Linked DNA regions of Arabidopsis thaliana. The protein of the gene in region 1 interacts with the protein of each later gene in a pairwise test. Each region holds a gene or a part of one and is shown on either strand. Other genes may lie near its edges.

Region 1 (13,326 bases):
CAAGTATTTGCCTTCTCTCTCAGCCACCTTCATTGATCAAAGAGACTTGTATGTTAAGACTCCGAGTATAGAAAAAAAGTAAATAGATTCTTTTACAACATTAGAGACCTGTGCAAGTGCAGGAAGTGTTGATTTCCCTGTGCTCTCGAGATAACCGCTACAGTCACCAATTGCAAACACGTCTTGTACAGAAGGTACACGCATCCACTCATCAATACCAATCCTATCGAAACAGAGTGATCCAAGATCAGAAAATGTTTTTTTGGAGGGAAAAAAACAGAACAAGCTTTCTGTTGTGACATTGGAACTAACATACCTTCCACCTGGATCTTTAGGAAAATCAAGAGACCTCACAAATGAAGATGGACCAACACCAGTTGACCAGACTAAGGGACCGTAAGGAACTTCAGTGCCATCATCAAGGATTAGCTTCTGAGGCTTCACTTCTTTCACAATCCCACGCACAAGCTTCACTCCAGACTGAAGTCAAAACTAGCAGATTTTCAAAATCCAAATTCTCTCAATTTAAAGCATATGAAGTTTGCATATGGATTAACTATAATAACCTTGTTTAACTGCTTGATTGCATAGTGCCTTAGCCGATCGTCAAAAGAAGAAAGTATATCCCTTGCCTGGAAAGAAACAATGGACAAAATTTCATATTTATGAAACAGATCATATATATAGTAGTTTTTATCAATGAAGTTATAAGCTAAGAAAACCTCAATCAGAGTAACACGAATGTCGTCTTTCACATGAGAATATCTCTGACGAACATCTTTCATGATGAAATCACTCAATTCACCACTAAACTCAACACCAGTTGGCCCACCTCCAACCACAACGCAATGCAACAGCCTCTTCTTCTCATCTTCACCTATGCCTAATATATAAATTTGCGTGTAATGATATTAGTTTTGGTTCAAAGGTAAATAAATAAGTGGATGATGAATGTGTTGTTTACTATATATACCTGGAACTTCAGAGAGCATGAGGTTAAGAAGAAGCTTCCTACGGATCTCCTGAGCGTGGTGAACCTCACGGAGGAAAATGGCGTTTTCTAAGACGCCATTAATTCCAAATGTGGATGCTTCTGCACCACAAGCTAGTACCAGTTTGTCATAAGCTATCTTGAACTTCCATGGCTTCAATGTGCTAGACCCCTCAGTTACAGTCTCACAATGCACCTGTTTAAACCAAGAGCATGATTCACACATATCATATACAACAGTCCAAAGCACTCTGCTTTCATCACAAACACAAAAGTCGCGTTTGCGTTTACAATTTGGAAATTTTGATATACCTAAATGTGAACGCAAAATTAGCGTTTGAAACAATGTCTAAACGAAACTACTTCTACATCCACAAATTGTAGAAAAATCCAAACATAAAACTACAAAAATAGATACATCTGCAAGACTTTTCCTCAATTTCAAGAACTTCACCAATATTAATATCCAATTAGCAATTACCTCATGATTATCAGCATCAAGTTTGGAGCAATTAGCAAGGAAGTAATAAGAACCGGGTTCTCGTGAAATCGCCGGTTGGATACGAGAGATTGGTTCAGCAACAGACCTAAACTCAAGCGTACCAACGCAAGTAGAAGCCAAGAGAGGAGTGAAGACCATGTGGTTCCTAGGAGAGACACAAACGACGTCGTAAATACTAGTATCGATCCCTTTTAATACCCGACAACCCGCCCAACCCGACCCGAGAACCAAAACTCTCGGCTTCTCTCCCTCTTTCGTCGGAGCCAAACCGTCGTAACGTTGTGGCTCCAACGCATTAACTACATCCTCCTTTGCTTGAACCGTGTCGGTTACTTGTTGCTTTTGCAGAGCGGTGCAGAAACGGGACGAGAGAGTGTAGGATTCGGGGTTTCTGAACACGTTTCCGACAGACGAAGAAGTGGTCTGCGAGATTCTTGCTAGGTTTTTGATCCACAACATGATTCTTTAGGTACTCTTCTTCAATCGAGAGAAGCAAATAATACTCCAAACCTAATGTGGTTAAGAGAATCGAACAAACTCTGCTACGAGCCGCCTTTGGTATACTGTATTATTCACTGTAATACGTATGAGAAAAACCTACGTGCCAGATTAGGAAATGACAGGTGGCACTCTGTTTCTCTTTCACCCAGAATAAATGGAAAATAACTCTTGATTTCTTTTTGGTAGCCACAGAAATATTAAATGTTTAGAAAACATTTTCAGTGTATGCCATTGGTTGGGCGTTTTTTAAGTGGTAAACAAAATCGAGATAAGTTAAAGGTGTTGAAAAATTTCAAAAATAAAATAACAAGAAACCTCAGCAGAACTTGATGCGCAAGAAACGACAATAGAAAAAACATGTGATTCACTAAAGACCGATGTGGGCCGCAAGAAAAGGATGTCGGAGTATTCGCTGACCTTGATCGGTTGTAATTGTATCGCGAGGGGTGACGTATCCAGAGATCGTCGCCCCAAAGCTTATTATCACTAGTTTATGGCCCAATAGCCCGTTTATATACATGATTTATTATTTTGGGTTTATGGCCCACGATAAATGGGTTACATATTGACACGAGTTTGAAATGGTCATGATATGGAAGGGGTCTTAATGTCTTATTGTCATACATTAGAAGTCACTTGAAATATCTGTAGATTTAGTATTCAAGTTTTCTAATTCAAATTTTCATTATGTGGCATTATGTAGACAGTCTAAGTAACAAAAGTATGAAAATTATGTGAATTCTATTCCAATAATATCACCGGACTCATGAAGTTTGGTTATGGCCGTTCTATGATTCTATAGTAAATTCTAGTTGTAATGAGAAGCATTTACTAAACACAACTTCCAATCATGCATCTTTCTAAAACCTCATTCACAAACTTATTCATTAGCTTGACAATCAATTATAAAGAAAACCTTAACAGTGACTAGTTCAAACTCACAATCACGAGTAGAGCATTACCATAAGTAAGATCAACTTGAAATATTTTGAACAGAGGAGATCACAACGTTTAACAGCTGAGGCATTACTTAAGATTTCTTTGCCTATTACAACAATCTTTAACCGCATACAAAGTAGCACAAAAAGATCATCAAAACTGGAAAGCAAGGATTATATATATACACCAAACGGTTCATAAAAATAAAATAAAAATTTTGCAAATTATACGTGCTTAATTATACTCTTGACTACTGAAATTTTTGTCTTTCTTTTTGCTCTATTTTTTTTATCCATCTTTAGCATTGTGGTCATGTGCTTCTGTTTCGGTTGTCACCTTTGTTATTGGGATTTTTATTTTTTCTGTTGACAAGTTGAGAAATTTTTGAAAGGTAAGAAGACAAAATAAATAAAAAGATTATGCATTGTTGACCACGGAAAATTAAATAATTATTTTTACCATTCATTAAACATTGAGATTAGAAGATACGAGTCTAGGTGTTCATTACTAATTTATTAATGTATCAGAACGTATTATTTGATGGAAGGTTTTTATTGTTCAGTATATAAAGAGATGACATACTGAGAGAAAATGAGTAAAATTAAAGATCTTAAATGTATCCAAAACCATATTTTTTTATTTTTATCTTTTTATTTATTTACCCTCTCCGACCTCCTCCACGACGCCTTCCAGGTGGATTGTGTTTGGCGTTGGCCGATGGCTCGCCGTAGTCGTTGGTGCTCACCATCAATGATCTACCCCTCACCATCATCTTTTCGTTTTCTGTCATGCATGCAGGTTTAACATATATTACGAAGCTAAAACTTAGATAATTACGAAAGTAATTAATCCAACGATATACTATTATGGATTTCAAAATTCGAATGAGGAGTTTATATACAACTCCAAAATTTGATCTTTTCTGTATGTAGATAGGATGATGAGCTCGATTTCTCTTACCTGAAAATGAAAAAGTTAGTCGAGCCGAAGAGACGATTGAAAGTGCCAAGAAAATGCATAAACACAGCCGAATTGCATAACAAAAAACCATCTTCTCTTCTCTTTCCCCTTTTTCTCTTCCTCTTTCTCTTCTCTATTCAACTATATCTCTCGTAACCCTCTCCTTTTATAAACGTGAAATGGAAATGTATTCATTAATAATAAAGATTAATTAACCTTATTTTTCAAACTACTTTAATATATATATTTCGGACAGTGCTACATAACCGGAATAGTGCAATTTATTGACATGGAAGCATTCCTACAAACATATCATTTTGAATGTCTAACCCAAATTCGAGCAAAATACATTTATAAGGAATTAGGGCACAACAAAATTTAAAACATTTTGATTAAAGATTGGTGTAGATACCTGCAAAGGCATGTGGTTTGAAATATTTTGATATTAAAAGTCTGTCTATTACAACATTTTACATCACTATATAAATCTTGTGTTTCATTGTTTCAGTGGTCTTCCCTGAATAAATCATCAGCGTAAACGTTTCTTACAAATTAACGTTTTTCTTAATGGCTAGCTACAATATCAAATTTTCGTCTAAATATTTTTTGACTCGTAAATAGCAATTATTTAGATTATGATTGAATTAATTCGGCTAGAAATACAGGATCTGTTTCGAAATAAAGTAGCTGATGTTTAACACGTGTCATTGTCTTATTGGAGATAGGAGTTGACTATTGCAGACAAATTGTGGATTCCACACTGTTAAGTTAACAGTTAACACATAAACGAAGCGAACATGCATGGGCAGTTGACTTACAGGCACCGTCCGATATAAAAAGTCAACGTCTATATTTTTGGCCCAAAAAAGGGATTTTGGGGTTTCCTTACTTTGAAAACGAATATTTCTGAATTCTGACGATCATGTGGGGTTTTTTATGTAATGGATGATAACCTTTTTGTCGACGTTAGAGAGTCAGAGTTATTGCGTATTCTTTAAAGTTTTAAGTTGACATTTATCTAGAAAATTATAGTTATCGCCCAGCTATGTATTCAATCATAGCTGAATTCACAAGTGGTAATGCTGTTAAAACTTAAAAGAATGAAGTTGATTTATACACAAGATTACGTTAATTTTGTGAGTCAGATAATTCATTGGCAAACACAGAGGGACGGTGTTTCTCCAGAAAACTTCCGAGGCCTAATCCACCAACTGAATCATATTTATGGACAACCAAACGCTAACAATCACATAATTGACAACCACTTAAGAAACAGTAACCAACCATAGCAATGGTAATAAGGCTGACTAAATCAACAAACCATAATCCTTAGTTTGAACCCATGTCTTAAATTACTTCACCGGATAAAATTTCCTTAACACAAACAAGACAAGTACAGACACTTTCCTAGCATCAATAAATAAAAGATCAATAGCTCAAGTAACAACAAACTACTATCGTTTTTTGAATCCATATTTCTTACGTTCATAGAACAGATCAGTTTTGGCACTGCCAAGATTGACTATCTTAGGACAACCATCTCTATCTTTCTCCTGTTGTGTACACTCTTTGCAGTAGTAAGCATCCGAGATTCCAACTCCTCCGCATATGACACACCGCCCTTGGAACGAACCATAGTTGCATTCATCGCAAATCCTAACCAGAGTACACGGGCGGACATAGGAATCACATATGACGCATTTTCCATCACACTTCTCGCACAGTCGCCCAATAGCAATGCCAGGTTGTTTCCGGCACATGATCAAATCAGGATGATGCTTGGCCATGACTGCTTAAAGAAGATCTTGCTCTTCCTCGATTAAGAAGATTTTGACCTGCAAATAACATTGGTTAACAAAGTAAAGAAAACACAATTTTTGTTTCTCAGAGGCATTTCAACAAACACCTATCAGGCAGCAGTTATTCTACTTACAGTTCCACTCAAGCTGAAACTTTTCTATATCCAATTCTAGCTAAATCAATGGAACGACGGTAAATTCTTGAAGTTCACTGAAAAGTGAACAAGAAACGAAGCAACAATGGAAACCATCAATTCGCTGAATCGAACACAGATAAACAAGAGAAAGCTGTTCGAGCCCAAAACGGAGCGGCGCAAAAGAATAAGCATAGACAACGCTAAACCCTAAGAATTCAGAGAAACATGAACACGGAACGAAATTTCTGAATCAGTAACATCTATCACGCATAAATCAAAGTTAAAAAACAACAAAGGAAAATATTATCGAAACTAACCTCGAAGGAGAACGAAGAAGAAGAGAAGGTGTCTGAACTAGCGATCCCTGATCTCCGAGCCGCCGATCCGAACAAGAGATGGCTCTGCAAATAAAACGACCCGGGTCGGGTTTCTAAAGATCCATGTAGGTCCGACTTAATATGGGCTATCTCATTAAAGGCTTTCCTGATGGGCTTTTTAATTTTAGGTGTTGATTTCTTTCCTATTTCGGCCTTATTTGACTTTTTATCTTCCCAAAGTCATTTAATTTCTGGAAAATCGCAGTTGACAAAGAAAAAGCAGAAAAAATGGACTGTGGCGGTGGATTCATGATTTGAAAAAGTCAAAGAGAAAGATGAGAGTGGTAACGTTTGACCTGGAAGAAGAAGAAGAAGCAACGGCCACAGAGAAACAGAGAAAGACTTGTCCAGGTCTTATATTATATATTCAAGCCTCTTTCTTCTCTCTCGTTGACACTAAACAGAGAAACACAAACGTCTAGAAGACTAACAATCAAATCAATCATCAGAAAAAGGAAACTTTTAAGTTTTCTACGAAACGATGTCGTCTTCAGTTGCCGTTTGCAACTCACCGGTGTTCTCTCCGTCTTCGTCTCTTTTCTGCAACAAACCGTTGAACACTTCTCCGGCACATGAAACCCTAACCCTGTCTCTTTCCCATCTCAATCCTCCCGTTTCTTCTACTTCTCCTTCCGCCGCGTCTCCCACATCTCCGTTCTGCCTCCGTCTCCTGAAACCGCCGGCTAAACTAGGGTTTGGATCGGACTCTGGTCCGGGAAGCATTCTGAAGAGGAAACGACCGACGACGCTTGATATACCGGTGGCTCCGGTTGGTATTGCAGCTCCTATATCGAATGCAGATACGCCGAGGGAGGAGAGTAGAGCAGTGGAGAGGGAAGGTGATGGTTACTCTGTTTATTGCAAGAGAGGTAAAAGAGAAGCTATGGAGGATCGTTTCTCTGCCATCACTAATCTTCAAGGAGATCCCAAACAGGTAATTTCAATTTTCTTCCGTAATTTCGAGTTTATTTACTGATTATTGCTTAATTAGTATGAATTGCGATTTGAAGATGGGTAATATATAACTTAAAATTTATTTATGCTGTGTTGTTGACTCAATGAATCAAATTAGAAGTTCTAAAGATTATAAGAAAATTCAGTGAATCATATATATGACAAATTGTATGAGTAGTTCTTGATTAGATAGAACCAATGACTAGTGTTCAAGAAAAAAAAAAAAGATAGATCCAGTGACTTACAAAATGGGGATTTAACATTTTTAGCTTTTTTATAACCGCAGGCAATATTCGGAGTCTATGATGGTCACGGAGGACCAACAGCGGCTGAGTTTGCGGCTAAGAACTTGTGTAGTAACATTCTTGGCGAGATAGTTGGTGGGAGGAACGAGTCAAAGATTGAAGAAGCTGTAAAACGTGGTTATCTAGCGACTGATTCTGAGTTTCTCAAGGAAAAAAACGTTAAGGGCGGCTCGTGCTGTGTCACGGCTCTGATCAGCGACGGAAATCTTGTGGTGGCCAATGCTGGTGACTGCCGTGCTGTTTTGAGCGTTGGAGGATTCGCGGAGGCCTTGACTTCTGACCACCGCCCTTCCAGAGATGATGAACGAAACAGAATTGAGAGCTCGGTAAGAATTCTTGCAAAAGAAGTTACTGTTAGGTTTTATCATGATTACATGGTTCTGATTACGATAATCCTGCAGGGCGGTTATGTGGATACATTCAATAGTGTTTGGAGAATTCAAGGATCATTAGCGGTATCTAGAGGAATAGGAGATGCTCATCTCAAACAATGGATAATATCTGAACCAGAGATAAATATTCTCCGAATCAATCCCCAACACGAGTTCTTGATCTTAGCATCAGATGGTCTATGGGACAAGGTTAGTAATCAGGAGGCAGTAGACATAGCTCGACCATTTTGCAAAGGGACCGATCAGAAACGGAAGCCATTGCTGGCTTGCAAGAAGCTCGTTGACCTCTCTGTATCACGAGGCTCCTTGGACGATATTAGTGTGATGTTGATTCAGTTGTGCCACCTCTTCTGACCATAGGAGAAATGTAGAGACAGAATAACAACGTTAGAGTCTGAAGTCATTCTTAATTTCTTACATTTTATTTTTTATTGTTTTCTAAGCATTCACTGTGAATGATTCACATATTCTTTTATTCGTTTTTAACTTCATTTAGTCATTTGAGCTGTTATGATACTTGTGTATACCATCTTAGACTGTCTTTACTCTCTATTGATAATCCTTATAGCCTTATAGGTCTTCTATGTAAAAACTCGTTAAGGCTTGTAAGTTGTATGTGAGTACTTTACCACTCAATACATTATATATTACTACTCTTTTATGAGATAATGTGGATCGACTTAAATGTGTAGGCTAGTACTGGTTTGTTTCAAGAGTTCATAAAATTCATGTTTTGAAAGTTTTTTACTTTTACGTTTATATGGACGCGTATTTCTTAACTACGTTAGTTCATAAATATCTTAGGCTCTTAGCCATTACCTTAATCCTATAAAATATTGAAAAGTCTGAAAGTTTAGTACGGTATTAAGTACATAGTGCAATGTCATTTTCTTAAGTTGTTTTCCAAGTGGATTCTCCTAGACATGCAAATTGGAAAATATGGTATGGGTCCTAAAAATCTTCAAATAATATCTTATGTTTTGGACATTTCTAGTAATTTATTCACCCACACATATATAAAAGGTGAAATTAGTTGCCCTAAGAGGATATGGAAGCAGTGGTGGACCGTTCAAATAGCACTTCACGTTCGCGGAAGGTCAAAGCTTGGCCAGAGAAACAACAAACAAAGTACATATATAATTTAGTTGCGGCGGCATTTTTTTTCTTTTGGAATTAATGGAAGAAAGGTTTCTGTATTTTGAAATAATTCAAAGATCAAAGAAAGATTATAGTGCATGCATAAAAGTTCGAATTCTAATGGTTAGCTAAATCATTAGCAAGCTTTGACCAAACTTCAATCGTAGTTTCAAAACACTAAATTGATATGTTATCAAAACTTTGATCTTTCTACCACTACCAACCCACTATAAATCCCAAGAAAGATACTATTGTAGTGATCTGGCTATTAACCATCCCAAGATTAATTCCCAACCAACGATCTCCTCAATTAAAAGTTAAAACCCTATCTTTTATTTTCTACCTTCCATCTTCAACTCGATCTCCGTGATATCTTTGGATAACGTTTTTGAGTAAATTCTTGTGCTTCCTTCATGATCCCAACCAAACAAAGAATAAAAACTAATATAATATTTTCACTATGCGTGGAGGTTGATCAAGCACGTCAATTCCCAATATGTGTGTTCAGACAACTCGTTAATATGTCAAAGAACGTGAGCCAACCGCTTCATGCCACGTAAGTTTCCAAATGGACCCCCATTTTTAAAACCCAACCCCTTTCGGCAACCTCTTCCTTCATCTCCAACCCCTTTGACAACTCCGATAATTTATTCGGATATCATCTACTTCGCGTATATATTCTGTTACTGTACACCCTCACCTTCTTTATGTTAATTGTTTGACGAATATAAATTAATTTATGTCCATTGCTTATGATTGGCTAAGACATGGTTTGGATTCATGAATCCTTGATAATGATTTGTACGTACGTCGACTACCGTATATTCCATGTCTGATCATGTCTTCAGGTCAACCAAATAGAAACATACCAGAAATAAGTCAATAAATCAAGCGTTCCAAATCTATAGGCACGTTTTTGTTCATTTGTCTTCTCCACGATCGGTGATCCGATCACTTAAGTAAAGAGACGATTTTTTAAATGTTGAGGTTATAAAAACGAAAACGATTGCGTGAAGCTAGAGGGTGTGTGTGATTTTATCTTTGCTGAGTAAAATATTAGCGGACAAGATCAAACCGCAACTTGAGTCTTGGTGGATAAGGATTAAGGAGACAGGGCAAGTGCATTGTTTCTTAAAAACATCCCAAGAACTTCTCCAAGTGTCATTAGGAGTGACATAAAACATTTTCTTCTAATTTCTAAAATGATCCTTTTTCTGATTTATTTGTTCTCTTTTCAAAACGACTAATCATTCCATAAAAGTAAAAAATTTGTAAGGATTAAGTCTAGATTTCAATAGATGTATATATAATTAAAATTGTTAAAATCCAAACCGACCATCGAACATGGTATAATTTGTTCAAAAATCTAATGATAGACTCGAAAGTTTGTGTTGTACATGACATATCCACGTGGGAAATTTTACAAAGATGAGACTTTACAAATCGAAAAGACAAGTGTACAAGAATAGTCCATGTCAGAAACAAAAAAAATTGCAACTTTATTTCACGTTCACATTTTCTGTTTTGCAGTTCCAAAACACGCATATAAATAGCTTCGTGTTGCACAAGTACGACATATGAAAGTTGGCACACATGGAGAAACAGAGCATCAGAAACACTTGTTCTTCTTCTTTAATGTTATCCTCACCATCTTCTTTTTGGGTTCGTGGTGCGTGTATCGGCAGAGGTTGTTTCGGTGCAGTTAGTACGGCGATCAGCAAAACCAACGGTGAAGTTTTCGCCGTGAAATCCGTGGATCTCGCCACGAGTCTCCCCACTCAATCAGAGTCTCTCGAGAACGAAATATCTGTCTTCCGCTCGCTAAAGCCTCACCCTTACATCGTGAAGTTTCTCGGCGACGGAGTCTCGAAAGAAGGAACGACGACGTTTAGGAATCTCTACTTAGAGTATCTCCCAAACGGTGACGTGGCTAGTCACAGAGCCGGAGGAAAAATCGAAGACGAGACTCTGCTCCAGCGTTACACGGCGTGTCTTGTCTCTGCTCTCCGCCACGTACACTCTCAAGGATTCGTTCACTGCGACGTCAAGGCGAGGAACATCCTCGTCAGCCAAAGCTCCATGGTCAAGTTAGCCGATTTTGGGTCGGCGTTCAGAATCCACACACCGAGGGCTCTGATCACGCCACGTGGAAGTCCGCTTTGGATGGCTCCGGAGGTGATCAGACGAGAGTACCAAGGTCCGGAGAGTGACGTCTGGTCTCTCGGCTGCACGATCATCGAGATGTTCACTGGGAAACCCGCTTGGGAAGACCACGGAATTGACTCGCTGAGTCGAATCAGTTTCTCTGACGAGTTACCGGTTTTCCCCTCGAAGTTGTCGGAAATCGGCCGTGATTTCCTAGAAAAGTGTCTGAAGCGAGACCCGAATCAGAGGTGGAGTTGCGATCAGCTTTTGCAGCATCCATTTCTCTCTCAGTGTCACAACTCATCTCCGACTGAGTCATCTCCGCGTTGCGTACTTGACTGGGTCAACTCGGGGTTTGACTTAGAAGAAGAAGAAGAGGAAGTAGGGAGATCAGAATTCGAAGACGCGGCGAAGGCAATAATTTGTAATTTGGCGACGACCGGAGGAGTAATTTGGGAGTCAGATGGTTGGGTGGAAGTTAGATGCCACGCTTCGGAAGAGGAAGGGACAACAATGGAATATTCGGGATCCACAAGGGTAGAATCGGAATATAACACATCATCGGATCCAAACGATGACGTGGCTGGTGACTCGGCGATAATTGACGTTTCTATGTCTCAGAATTTACCGCCTGGAAACGGGGGATCGGCGGCGGCGCTGCCATATGAATTTGTGGTGGTTTTACATTTATTAATGGAAATTATGGTTTATACTACATGTATCTTTAGGGAAATTGTTCTCACTATGTATTTGTTGTATCAGTATAATCAAAGCAATAAACTCGAAACGTTGTCTTTTAATCACAGCCTCAAGTTTTGTTTGTTTGCACATGTGATTCGGATCGGACAAAACTATCTTTTACGCGGTGAGATGAGATCGAGTGTCTTAATTACGAGCCATTGCCTTATATTGATAACTCTCGTTTACAGCCAAATAGTTGTATTTTAATGTGAAAAAATATTGCGACAAATGGTTTTGGTTCGTAAGCTGGTGGAAGACTCAAGAGGCCAAAAGAGACTTTGGTTTTATGCTTTAGAAGACTTTTGATTCATCCTAATAAGTATTCGGATTTTGGAGCATTTAAATGAATCATAGAGGGAACCGGACCGGTTGAAGATGGTTGTTTGTTTCGACTAGGCCTGAAGGACCAAGGTTATGCATGTACGATTATGTATCAAACTGAACGAAGTCGTTACATAGAGTTTAGCTCAAGCATATCATCATATTCTTTTTTCGATCTTTAAGATTTTTCTCTAATCTCTATGCTATAAATCATTAAGATTTCTCTAAAAAAGGATTAATTTCCCTTGAGATAAATAGCTTTAAAAATAACCCAGATACAATGGGTTTATATGGGCCATATATATTTTTTGTCATAAGAAATCGGCCCATAGTTAGCTTCAATTCAACGCCGTATAACTATGAGTCGTTCCGATTTCCTGTGTTGCGAAACCCCCAAATTCTCTTCTCTCTATCTCTCTCGCGTACGCCGCACCGTAGCGACCAATTGAATCCACGAGGAAATCTCAGTAAATACTATGGCGACCAACGAACCCGAGCACGAGCACAGAGACGAGGAAGAGGCCGGAGCTAACGAGGATGAGGACACCGGAGCTCAGGTCGCTCCGATCGTTAGGCTTGAGGAGGTTGCCGTCACTACCGGCGAGGAAGACGAAGATGCCGTCCTTGATCTGTAAGTGTTTTTCTTAATTGGTGTTTATAGTTTTTCTGATCTAGGTCAACTGGATCTGATCGAATTTATAAGGTTTAGCTTTTGGTGTGTTTGACTGAATTTTTGTTTGTGAATCTAAAGGAAATCGAAGCTTTATCGATTCGATAAGGATGCGAATCAGTGGAAGGAGAGAGGAGCTGGTACTGTGAAGTTCTTAAAGCATAAGAACACTGGGAAGATTCGTCTCGTTATGAGGCAATCTAAAACTTTGAAGATCTGTGCTAATCACTTCGGTATAATTTCTATTTGGACTACTTTGTGTTGTTTTTGAGTTGCATCTGGATCTGTATTTAGGTTACTGTTTCCTTATCTAGTCTTATGCTTCTGATATTTCTGCAGTTAAATCGGGCATGAGTGTTCAGGAACACGTTGGGAATGAAAAGTCATGTGTGTGGCACGCTCGTGACTTTGCTGATGGTGAACTCAAGGATGAGCTTTTCTGTATCCGATTTGCT
Region 2 (12,250 bases), on another chromosome or scaffold:
ATTTGGTGATATATAATATATATATTAAAGTAAATTTATATACAGTAGAAACTTTATAAATTAATAAATATAATAAGTTAATAAACACGATAAATTACTAAATTTGTTATAAAATTAAAATTAATAAAATAATAAGATAATAATTTTTTGAAATCCTTGTGTAAAAATATGATCCTAATAATATCAGTAATTAATTATCATAATTCTTAAGCATACATTTTAAAATAATCTAGTATAATATGAATCTAGTGTTATTTGTCTTTTCGTACGGATCTCGTTGAAGATTATCTGTAATTTTCTATATTGCATCAAAACTCCTGGTGTCGTTTTCTCGATCTGCCTCCAAAAGTTTTGAAGAGTTTTATACTTAATAATTACTTTTTTACATGTCACTATTTCCAAAGGTTCCACATTATCTTTGAACATTCATTCTATTTCGATAATCAAGGGTGTAAATGGATACCTAGATTTGTTAAGATGAAAGAGTCGAATTGTGGGTTCAACTTTATTCCTCAAGAAATTCACCATTTGCTTTTAACAAAATTTCAACCCAATTTTATTGGGGCCCACCATAAAGCTGAAAATTTACACTTTTTAGCTGAAAATTGTCCAACCTCAAATTAGGAGAAGAACAAATTGAACGTGATAAAAATTTATAATATATTTCTATCTCTATTACATTTAAATTAATTAATTTGTTTAGAGAATCTAGAAAATTCAAATACTAAACTAATTCAGTTCAATCTTTGAATAATTTGTAATCTTTTGTTGTCGAATATAAGATATACACGAACCAACAACTATAATATCTTCTTATAAATCAGCTCAAACTTTGGACAATTTTGAATAATTCATATTTTTATTTTATTAAAACCAACAGCTAAAATCTGTTCCTATAAATATACTAATCCCATCAAGATTTATCTTTACACAAAATATTATGAACTAAACACATTTTCTTCTTTCAAAAACAATAGTTGTTAGTCAATCATGAGTGAAAGATAATATTTCTCTCTACTTATATGAAGATGGGAATTATATGAAGATCGTCCGTGATCAAATTGCTGAGCAAATGTGGTCCGCAAGTCGAAATAGTTCTCATCGACATTGTTAGATTTTATTTTAAATAATATTTTTTTATATTTAACTATTCAGCTAAATGGTTACTATTTAACATACATTTTATTTCTCTGCAGCTAATTTATCTCATTCAGCTCAATCACCATCTAGACCCCAAGATTATCAATCACAACTTCATCGTAGATATAAGGACATACTATCTTGCAGGAAAAGAAATTAATAAAATAAAAAAATAAAATTTAACATAATTGAATATACAAACGACAAAGCATAAATTTTATAAAAATAAAAATAAAAGGATTATAATATTATATTTTGTGTAAATATTTCTAATTTATTAATTTATGGTATATGATAAATTAATATCATTACAAATTAATAAAATTTCAAGGTCCCAACATTATTAATTTATAGAGTTTTCACTATATCCTAACTTATAATTCATAAAAGAAATTCCGGATTTCTATTTCTCGGATGGATTATAGATATGGTAGAATTCAAACCATCAGATAAATCATCACCACTCGAACATGGGACCGCTATACGAGCACTCTTTAGTTCTATCATTCTATGTGTAAAATCACCTTTCAAAACCTAAACTACATATCCCACTCAGTTTTGTTTCTTGTCAATTTTTTTTTGTTTTCAGATAAATAATACCCAAGTAAAATAAGACCCCACCATCTCTGTTAATCATGGGGCCAGTTCCTAAAGCGAAGCCTCACGTTTCTATCTCCACTATTTCCCTTTTTTTTTGTTGAAACTTAGAACCAAAAATATATCCATGACAAACTCAAGCACTACTACGACTAGATAACAAATAAACAAAAAGGAATTTTTTTCCCAATTGGCCACTTGCACTTTTTAGTTTTCACCCAATAAATACCTCTAAGTAACCTCTCTTTCTTCCTCCTCAAAAAAAAAACTCATTTGCTCTCTCCAAACACCAAAACCCAAAATAAGTTTCAAAGGAGAAAACACTAAAGATGCTCAAGATGTTGTCTATATTAAGAAGAAACCTTCAAAATCTTCGAAAAAGCCCGCGGGTGGCGGACGAAAGCGCGTTGCCTTCAACGACGGTTAATGGAGATCACGGGGGAGGAAACGGGAGTAACGGTGGAATAATGAAGTTTCCGCTATCGATCATGTCATGTTTTTCGGTTCCACGAGTTAGCAGGGCAGATGGTGTGTGGGTGTCGGGAGATTATGGAAGGGTCTCGGAGGTTAACCATCTCATGGTTTGTGATGGCATGAGATACGCTCTCTTAATGTAATTATATATCTAGCTCGACTTAATTTAGCTAGTAGTACATATTTCTTTTGTGTTGATGGCGTTTATATTAGGGCATTTAGTGAGATATACAAAAGCTTTTCACTTCTTTTTTCATGGTTTGTGTTTATTAAAGAACATATCTTAGCTAGGAATATTTAACTTTTTCTCTTACTCATCTGCTTTTTGATCTTTAAACTGATATATATGCTAGTGGTTGTCATATATACAAAACTTGGAGATTCTTGAATTTGATAATGATTTATGAGTTAGATGATTTATGATTTAGATGATTTATGACCACATAATATTAGGGAAATCTCATCCACCATATAAATATATATCATACACAACAAACATTAGGATATATCCATTATTAAGAAAAAGAGTTGGGATAAACTACTTTTACTTATGGCTTAGTATTTTACATTATTTAACAGAACTATGACACAAAATTTTCACTAGTCCTGAGGTTAATACTATGGCCTGTTCGTTTATTAATCGCTACGACAGCAACAATGACTCCGACGAAGGCAAAAATTATAACGGAGATACAAAAATAATCGTTCAGTATGGACGTCGGCGACGTCACTAGTGAAAATTTTGAGTCGCTGTTATTTTTGGCGACGCGTGTATATTTCTTATAGGTCGCTGTTTTAGAATTGAGCGACTCCTCTCCATATAACTCTTTACAAACTTTCAACGTAATTGTGTGTTAAACAACTACTTTTTTGATCGCTGAATCTGATCACACAGCGCGTGAGAAAAAAATAGGGCCTATATAATAAACTTGATGTGATATGACTGACCGAGATTTATAAGTCTAGTATTTTGTTATAATACCAAACCAGTGTTGTGTCACAACCTATATGTTAATTCAAAAGCGTGCATAAATATACTGTAGATGATTAAAGAATTGATATAGCCTGATTTATTAACTACTATTTAACATACAAAGAACTTGGTCCAAATGGTGAATGGTCGTCAAAAATGAGTTTAGCTAACGCGGAGAGTAGTACCAAGAAGACGACAACAATGTGGAAAATACTCATGTCCACGTTTAGTGCGACACAGCATGAACCGACCCTTTTTTAATAATCATTGCCAATTTAATTAGTTACAAAATAAATTTGTTGTAGTGCTGACTAATAAAATTAGGATTTGGATGTTCTCAGTGCGGTTTGCTCAATGAAATATCCCATCATCGCGATTGACGTTTGTTAATTTTCTCTTAAAATGATTGGTGAATTTACAAACAGTCTAGAATCTAGATTGTGCTGGATGCTTTGGACTTTGTTGTTGAAATTTCTATTAATTAACTAAGATGTTTTCATTTGCTAACGTTTCATGATTGTTTATTAAAGTTAAAACCATTATATTCGTGAAGATTATGATTAGACATGAAATACCACTGGATTCTAAGATAGGAAAAAAACTAGATTAACCCAAATAATGAGATTAATTATTAGAATATCTTATAAAATATTGGGGTTAAATTAGTTTTTTTTTTTTTTAAATACATTTTTTTTATGTGTTAAAAATAAAATAAATATAAAATTATCCTTTAAAAAAAATTCCAGCAACTTTATAAAAGTCTATCGTTTAGTTATGGTAGATTTATTCTTATTCTACAGACTTTTTTAACTGCGACAGATTTTTTTATGGCAGACCTTTTTGGTTGACAGACTTCTTAGAAGATAGTGATAACAGATTTATAAATTATAGCAGATTTAATTTGATTGACATATTTTTAATTTATTCAACCATAAATTTCATATAATTTGACAGAGTTATTTTTTTGTGGATGTTTTTTAACGATAAGTGATGGCAGATTTATAATTTTGTTAAAACAATCTGGCACATTGTAACAGATTTGTTGTCAAAAAACTAATTACTAGAGTGACGTCTAACGATAACCAATTTTTTTAATGTTATGACAGACTTGTTTTATGTTATAACAGATTCTTGTAATATTACACAATATCTGTCGTTTGATGGGAGATTTGTTTTCTAAAAATATAATGTTTTATGTTATGACAGAGTTGTTTTATGTTGTGACAGATAAATTTATATTACCATAAATCTGTCATTTGATGGCAGGTTTAATAAAGAATAAAATAAATTCCTGAATGACCTTTAAAATATTTTATGTTACGACAGATTTGTAATTTGAAATCCTTATGGTGGCCGATTTATAGTTTTCTGTTTCCATGATTTTTTTAATAGAATAATACTAACTATTGTAACAGTTTTTTTATTTTCAAAATCATATTATGACAGATTTAATTTTTTTTTGTCAATTGTTTTTAGAAATTCTTTTAAATACCACTAAAATGAGTTTTTCCAAAAACAATACTATAATGAATTTTATTTTTCAAAAATACTACAAATCTAAAACTTAATTTAATATTCAAAACTAATTTTTACATCCTAAACACTAAACCTTACAACTAAAAACTATACCGTAAATATATATAGTCAACCCAAATATATAAAAAAATTCTATAACTTCAAAAATCAATTATGGTTTTTTTTGCATATTTTTTTGTTATATTAATATTTACAGTGGTGACAATTTTTTTTCCTTGTAATGACAGACTTATTAGAGAAATTACCATATTTATCACTAAAACATTAAATATCGACATCTAGGGTCAATTGGTCTTTTTACACAAAATTTGTGTTAGTATATTTATCCATCATTAATGAGAGTCATTTTAGTTATTATTGCCTAGTTTTGAGTCAATCTAGGCAATTTTCAGTTATAAGATATGTAACCTCACATTTCGGGGTGGCTAATGGCGAATTTAATCATGTTAAAGAAAATTACAACGTTGTCTTTCATTCAAGAAGTTTTTACCGAAAGAAAAAACCAATTTTTGACAACAAATCAGTCAGAAATGACTCTATCCGATAGGTTTTTAAAGGATTTTGTCCCTCAATTTTAGATTCTCGAAAATCAGTAAGAAATTTTTTGTGATAGATTTTTAGTTTTTGATCATTTTTTCCAACATATTTTTGATAAAAACCGAACATATCTTTCTTGTTCTGAATCTGGTCAAAGTATGAAATATTTATTTTGTTCAAGACATAAAGCGAATATCTAAGTTTTGATCCACTTATTTTTTTAAGTGTATGTTCTTCACAAAATTATATTGATGAACTAAAAGTATTTTTGAATTAGAATCCTTAAGCTTGTTGCCTAAGGAATAGTGTGGAATCAGGTTTCGTGATCTCCATTGCTTCAAACAAGCCCTTCTTGCCAAAAAGGTTTGGAGAAAATTAATAATAGGAACACCTGCATTAAAGCACCATTTATAGTGTTGTCCAAAGAGACCTCTAGAGCAAAGTGAAAAAGGCAATAGGATCACAAAATAGATTTTGATATGGTTAGTGAGATTATTGTATACCATGATTTGTCATTTCGGTATGTGAAGTATGAAAATGTTAGAGGTAGAGCGATGCAGCGAAGATACAAGATTCGAGGACGAAGATACAAGATATATTGAAGGAAAAAAAAATTCTTGGCAGACGAGACCTGATGTATTTCCAAATATCTATTATTTTTATCTTTTAATTCAGTATTATTATTATTTTACAATATTCTATGGATTTTAGGATTTTATGCTTTTATTATATATAGCCTTTTTTGGCCTCCTATTGTATTTAGTTGTTGATTTGATTAATAAAATGAAAGAGCTTTCGATAAGCAGTGAGAAGAGTATTCTCAAACGAAGTCTTTGAAGTCTTTGTTTATTGGAATCCATTGAACTCCAATAACATTAGAATTCCGAGCTACGATTTTCCTGCTTGAGATCCATTGATACTCGATATTACTTATGTATTCTATCCTAGAAGCTTCCGCTACGTCATAGAGATCAGATTCAAACCAAATCAAATCCAAGTTTATAATCCATACAACACATCATATTCAAGTAGACAAGCACTCGTATATAAACAATGAACATGAAACATATTCGACAATATCAAACTCAAGCACAACATCTTTCACAAAAACAAATCCAAAAACATAAAAACATAGATGTTTTAAGCTTTTAACTATAAAACCGTGTCATTTCTGGGACCATGGAAGCTTTTGTCTTGTATTTAAGATAATCAAGCTTACATCCTTCTGTTAGTCCATAAAATATGGCTCGTGAAACCTCATCTTTTGCAAGGAGTTCTATAGATTCCCAGTAGAGGGGGCACCAAAAAACCATCCCCATAACCTTGTCTACTTGCTCAACAATAATGGCTACTTCATCAGCCAGCGAGCTAGGTTTAGATCCCATGTGTGATACAAAATCTGCAATTTTATAAGAAAAAGAAACAGATTTTAGTTTATCAAAGTATTGAGACGGATAGATCTACGGATTTTTCCAAAAACAATAACAGTCTAAGTTCATCTAACCATAGAAACTTAAGAAAGAATTGTAGTTGAGTGAAAAACAGAACTAAGCAAGAGAGCAAAAATAAACCCGAACAAACAGATCTGAGAGAAAAGCTGTGAGGAAGAGAACAGATTTTTTTTTGATCATACAAATATTCTTTCTGATCCGATCAATACATATTTAAACATTAATTAGCGGGCCGTAGCATGAAGTGATTAGTGTAGTGGACACTGGACAGTTTAATTTGTATTTTAAGACTGAACAGAAAAAGCCTCACTACAACGAAATGTAATAAAAGAATGGTAGTGTCTCTTCTCACACGTATGAACCACATCTTTATTTTTGTCCAGATTAGAATTTAGTAACTAACTACATCTTCTATTTGACAATTTTAACTAACTACATCTTCTATTTGATGATTTTAGAGTATATGTAAAATACAATTAGTAACGTAATTTGTTAATTGTGGTTCAATAAGCGACAATAATCTTTTCTATATTGAAAATCAAAATCATTAACACCAAGTTGTATTAAAGATCAAATCATAACCATGTGATCTCTTCCACGATTCTTCAATTATGTTTCTAACAATTTCACCCTTTGATGAGGGTATTCAATTTGCTGTTTCAGTAGTTTCTTTTTTTTTTCACTGTCAATTTCAGTAATTTATTTAAAAATAATTATTGCTATTCACATTGTATTTCTCAATTAATACTATACATGTTTCTATTGGATCCTTGGTCCATGTATACGCCAACTCCGTATTTGAGTTTGTAGCTTCTGAATGTTGTACCAAAAAAGAAGAAAAAAAAACGACCAAGAGCTTTTGTATATATATTTGATATTTTAATTTGTTATATATAGTAAAATAAATGCCTCGGTAATTTCCATCAAGAGCTTTTGTATATTGGATGCTACGATCATAATATATAGTAAAATAAAAACATATCATTTACAAAAAAAAAAAAGAGGAAAACTAAAACGCAAAAACCCTAGTGTATTTGATACAAAACCCTAGTATATATAAAGAACAGAAAACCCCTCGCATGATTGGTAAAGTAGTCTGAAGACATGGAGACGTGTAACGGCTTGATGAGAAAGAATAAGAGACAAAAAGTGTCTAGAAATAGTGATTGGTCCAAGCTTTGTCCCGATGTTTTGCGGAAGATATACGAAACCTTAAGGAGCCCTGTTGATTCTCACCGCGCAAAAATCGTTTGCTCGAATTGGTATTCCGTTTGGAAAACATGCGTGAAGAGGCCTCTATGTCCACTGAGGATAATTCACCAAGGCGATTCTCCCACCGTAGGAGACGGCAACAGAAAACTCATGGGATTCTCCTACAACAGCTATTGTATGGCTAGCTCCGGAAACTGGCTCCTGATGGTTGATCGTTGTCTCAAATTCTATATTTATAACTTGTTGACGAAGGAAAGGATCGATCTTCCATCGATGGAGTCAAAAATACGTGGCGGGCAAGTAAGCTTCAAATCTAAAAGCAACAATTACAATTTTGGATACTTGGTCGGGCCTTCTCGTAAGGATGATATAGTGCCGTATGACTATGAAGCCGTTGAATGGAAAAAATCATTAGCTGTTCTGTGGGTAGACGAGACAACAGGAGATTATGCAGTTGCTTGGACTTTTATGCGACAATACTTGTTCTCATACATAAAAGGAGATTATTCTTGGTGTAATCTGAATCATAATGGGAAAAGTTTGGTTTTGTTTGATATGGCTTGTGAGAACAATAAGCTTTATTTGTTGACAATGGATCATCACATCAAGATTTTCAATTTCTATGGAGATTTTTTAACAGGAGAACAAAACCTGTATCCGTTTAACTTCGTTGAGGATCCGTCGGAATACGTTTGGAAGAGGAAGATAGTGATTCGGAGATCAGGAGAGGTACTGATAGTCTTGAGCTTGAAAAAAAAAGTGCAAAATGAAGAGAAACTTTTGTTTTACATCTTTAAGATGAATCTTGAGAGTCGCAAGTGGGAAAGAGTTTATTGTATTGGAGATGAGATGTTGATTTTTGGTCGTGGGGTTACAGCTCTTGCTCTTGAAGATCTTGATGATGGGATAAAGAGTAATTCAATCTATTTCGTCGGCGAAGATGTTTGGCCAGATCATCAAGAACATGAGCATCGTGTTTCAAATTGCGGTTTCTTCGATATTGCCACAAGTAAGATCGAATGGCCTAAGAAAATCTATTGTTTCATTAATCAAAATCAGTGGTTTGTTGGGGGAGTTGCTTATTAGGCTTTATTGAATGTAGGAAGCTGATATAATTTTATTAAAATTTCTAGTGTTATTCAATGATTTTTGAACTCTATTTATTCTTCTATATTCTAATGTTTTTCAGTTTATTGATATTTTGAATTCTATTAGTTATATGGTTTTGATGGTAATCTCATTCGAAAATTATTTAATAGAAAGTTTAAGGATATATTTACTTGACCCTTCCAATCTTTAGAGAGGTGATGGACCATTTATTGATTATCACCTAGACGTTAAAACGGCACCGGATTTGTCATAGGGATGCATAAAAGTTGTAGGTTCTGATTTCATTGAACAATAGAGAACAAAAAAACTGATAAGATGGGTGATCATTAACAGAAATAAGAACAACATATGATGGATATAGAATAAGAGAAGGATTACAACGATGATTAGAAATTTGTGTAAGGTTGCAATGATCTAAAGCTTCATTGCTTGTTTTTCTTCTTAAGCTCCTCTTTGCTATCTTACTTTCGCCTCTCCTCTGTGTGGTAGTAAGAGTTAATGTAGATATATATAGAAGAACCATCTTCGTGCTCTTTTATTTATTTTCAGCTTTGACACAAAAGTTTCATGATTTCACAAGTATTATATGTTATCTTTCATCTTTCAACAAAACTTCGCCAACGGTTTATACAAATTATTTAGAGTTGATTGATGCGTTGAGATTTGAAAAACAGAGTGTGTCTGGTCTAGTGTTGAATATGAGGTGGTTGTTATTTTTTTGTTGCAAGAGAAGTTTTATATGTTCCTGAATTGATTGTGATATTTATTGGTACTGCATTAAGAATCTTATATGTTCCTGAACTAGTGAATACTGCCAATTTTTTTATCTCCTTATGTGAAGTAAACCGTCTTTGCTCATATATTTTGGTTTCTCTTTCACTGAGCAAAGTCGATGAACTGATCAAGAGTCTCTTGGATTTGTGCTTCTGCACTTCTTAAGAGGAAGGTGTGTTGACTTTTCGACTTGTTCTTTGTGTTCTTGGATATATGTTCTTTTCGACTTTTATACTTCTTAAGAGAAAAAAAACTAGTTAACATTGTTTCTTTAGCAAGGTAGTGATTTTTTTTTTTGAGATTTAGAGATTGTGGAAAACAATTTGTATACTACCGTTGGATAATGATTTTTGTTTCAAAAATAAATACATACAAGCTCTCTTTTTATAAATTTTTCCAATCATATATATGAAAGTTGACGAAGTCTCTCCATATGAGTAACACATCATCACACAAGAAAATGACATGTGTCATTCTACATTAATGAAATAAAAAGATTAACAAAACTATTTGAGGAAAAATCAAAAGTTTTTGTTGTGTTAAACCCTCCATTAATCTCACTCTTAAATAATTTTTCTAAAATATTAATAGATAAAAAATCATAAATATGCATCAAACACTATTTTTATTATACTCAACTTATTTTATTGAATTTTGTTTATTAATAGTCATTAATCCATAATGGCTAATAATTTACCTGTGTTGTAGATTTACTTTTGTTGTTGTTTAAATACTTGCTACCTAATCTCATAATAATTTAGTAATCTTACTTGGATATTTTCTAATTATTACGTTTTGTAAATATGATTTATCATATGATCTTCTTTCTTTTCATTTTTGTGCGTTCTAATAACTTGGTAACATTGACATACAATTTTTTCACGTAATGGTCCTTTGAGACGTTAAAAATACCAAAAAAAAATAAAATAAATGAGACTCTATATGACTATATTTAAGGGATGAGATCTAAAGTGTTGACTTAAATTACTATCATATTAGGATGTGGTTGGTGTACTAGATGACGAAGGAATATATGAAATAAAGAATTGTTTGTTACAATTAAGTTAGACAAGTTTCAAACGACATAAGTAACATAACGACATACATTGGATCAATATATCATATATTATTGTTTTATGTGTTCATGATAGTGAAAAATTAAGATAATAGATATATAAATATCCATATAGTAGTAAAAGTGATATTTCGAGTTATAGATGAATTTAATCATAAAAACTTATAATTATATAAAATAGATATGAATTTATTAATTACATAATAACACAAACATAAAATAAAGATCAAAATCAACAAAAAAAACTATAATCATAATTTTTTTGACAACTTTAAAAACAAAAACCCATGCGTAGCATGAATGTTCATCTAGTTAATATTAAAGAATGGTAGAGAGCCCATGAGAAGGCTCTCACCATTGGAGATGGTCTTAGAACTTTACCTTGTCGTTTTGGCATGACATTAAATAGTGTAACTAACTTGTCATGCATTAGTTTATTTCCGTCGTTGGTGATCTCTTATGATCTTATTTGGATTTTTAAAATAATCATTTTATTATTATTGTTATGATTTGTAGTAAAGTCCTTCTAAATCTCATCTAAAAGACTAAAACCAAGAGATTTTGTTTTGTGTGTATTAAATTAAAGACATCCTCTAAAGTCCTTTAAAGTCATTAAAGAATCTAATGCTTATAATGTTCTCAAGAAAGTTAGATTTTAAATTACTTTTTAAATCATTAATTCAATACTTTGTTATGGTTTATATTTTTACTTTCTTTTATTGGCCGCTATCTTTTAACAATTTGCTAAAAAATGCATAGTGTTATGTTCCAAACGTAACTTAGACGAAGGTATTACTTGGTATAATAAATGAAAACCAAAACCCTTTGGTCTTATTTCATGCTTATATAATTGAAAACCCTAGTGCGATCGGTGAGGTAGCCGAAACCATGGACATATCTAGAAATAGTGATTGGTCCAAGCTTTACCCCGATCTTTTACGCAAGATATTAATAAAATCTTGAAGAGCCCTGTTGATTCTCACTGAGCAAAAACCGTTTGCTCAGATTGGTATTCCGTTTGGAAAACATGCTCGAAAAGGCCTCGATGTCCATTGTGGATCATACATTATGGTGATTCTAAGACCAAACAAAGGAAAACAAAAGTCGCCGGACTCTCAAAGACAAGCTATTGTATGGCTAGCTCTGGATATTGGGGTTTGATGGTTGATCGTCGTCTCAAATTCTATATTTTTAACTTGTTTACGAAGGAAAAGATCAATCTTACATCAATGGAGTTGAAGATCCGTGGCGATAAAGTAAGCTTCCAAGGAGGAAACAAAAACTCAAGAGTATGGATATATGGTCGGGCCTTCTGGTAAGGATTATGTGTCGTATGATGATGAGACAGATTATTGGAAAAACTCGTTAGCT

The links.
Region 2: the proteins of AT1G07160 (region 1) and AT2G04800 interact in a two-hybrid assay, tested with the Arabidopsis thaliana proteins (one large-scale study listed by BioGRID).

What each region holds. Positions count from the first base shown.
Region 1 is NC_003070.9:2,193,040-2,206,365, reverse strand, and holds AT1G07160 (Protein phosphatase 2C family protein), read left to right. Parts: upstream 1-6,592; 5' UTR 6,593-6,687; coding exon 6,688-7,140; intron 7,141-7,446; coding exon 7,447-7,791; intron 7,792-7,866; coding exon 7,867-8,211; 3' UTR 8,212-8,512; downstream 8,513-13,326. Other genes in the region: NDA1 (alternative NAD(P)H dehydrogenase 1), read right to left, coding at 1-27, 109-223, 317-480, 567-632, 723-883, 974-1,187, 1,473-1,952; AT1G07175 (alternative NAD(P)H dehydrogenase), read right to left, coding at 3,244-3,295, 3,596-3,716, 3,894-3,984; AT1G07170 (PHF5-like protein), read right to left, coding at 5,348-5,680; MAPKKK13 (mitogen-activated protein kinase kinase kinase 13), read left to right, coding at 10,588-12,087; SIRANBP (Pleckstrin homology (PH) domain superfamily protein), read left to right, coding at 12,678-12,832, 12,953-13,104, 13,211-13,326.
Region 2 is NC_003071.7:1,680,961-1,693,210, forward strand, and holds AT2G04800 (uncharacterized protein), read right to left. Parts: upstream 6,980-12,250; 5' UTR 6,829-6,979; exon of another isoform or gene 6,657-6,828; 5' UTR 6,643-6,656; coding exon 6,406-6,642; 3' UTR 6,213-6,405; downstream 1-6,212. Other genes in the region: AT2G04795 (uncharacterized protein), read left to right, coding at 2,067-2,354; AT2G04810 (F-box only protein (DUF295)), read left to right, coding at 7,813-9,006.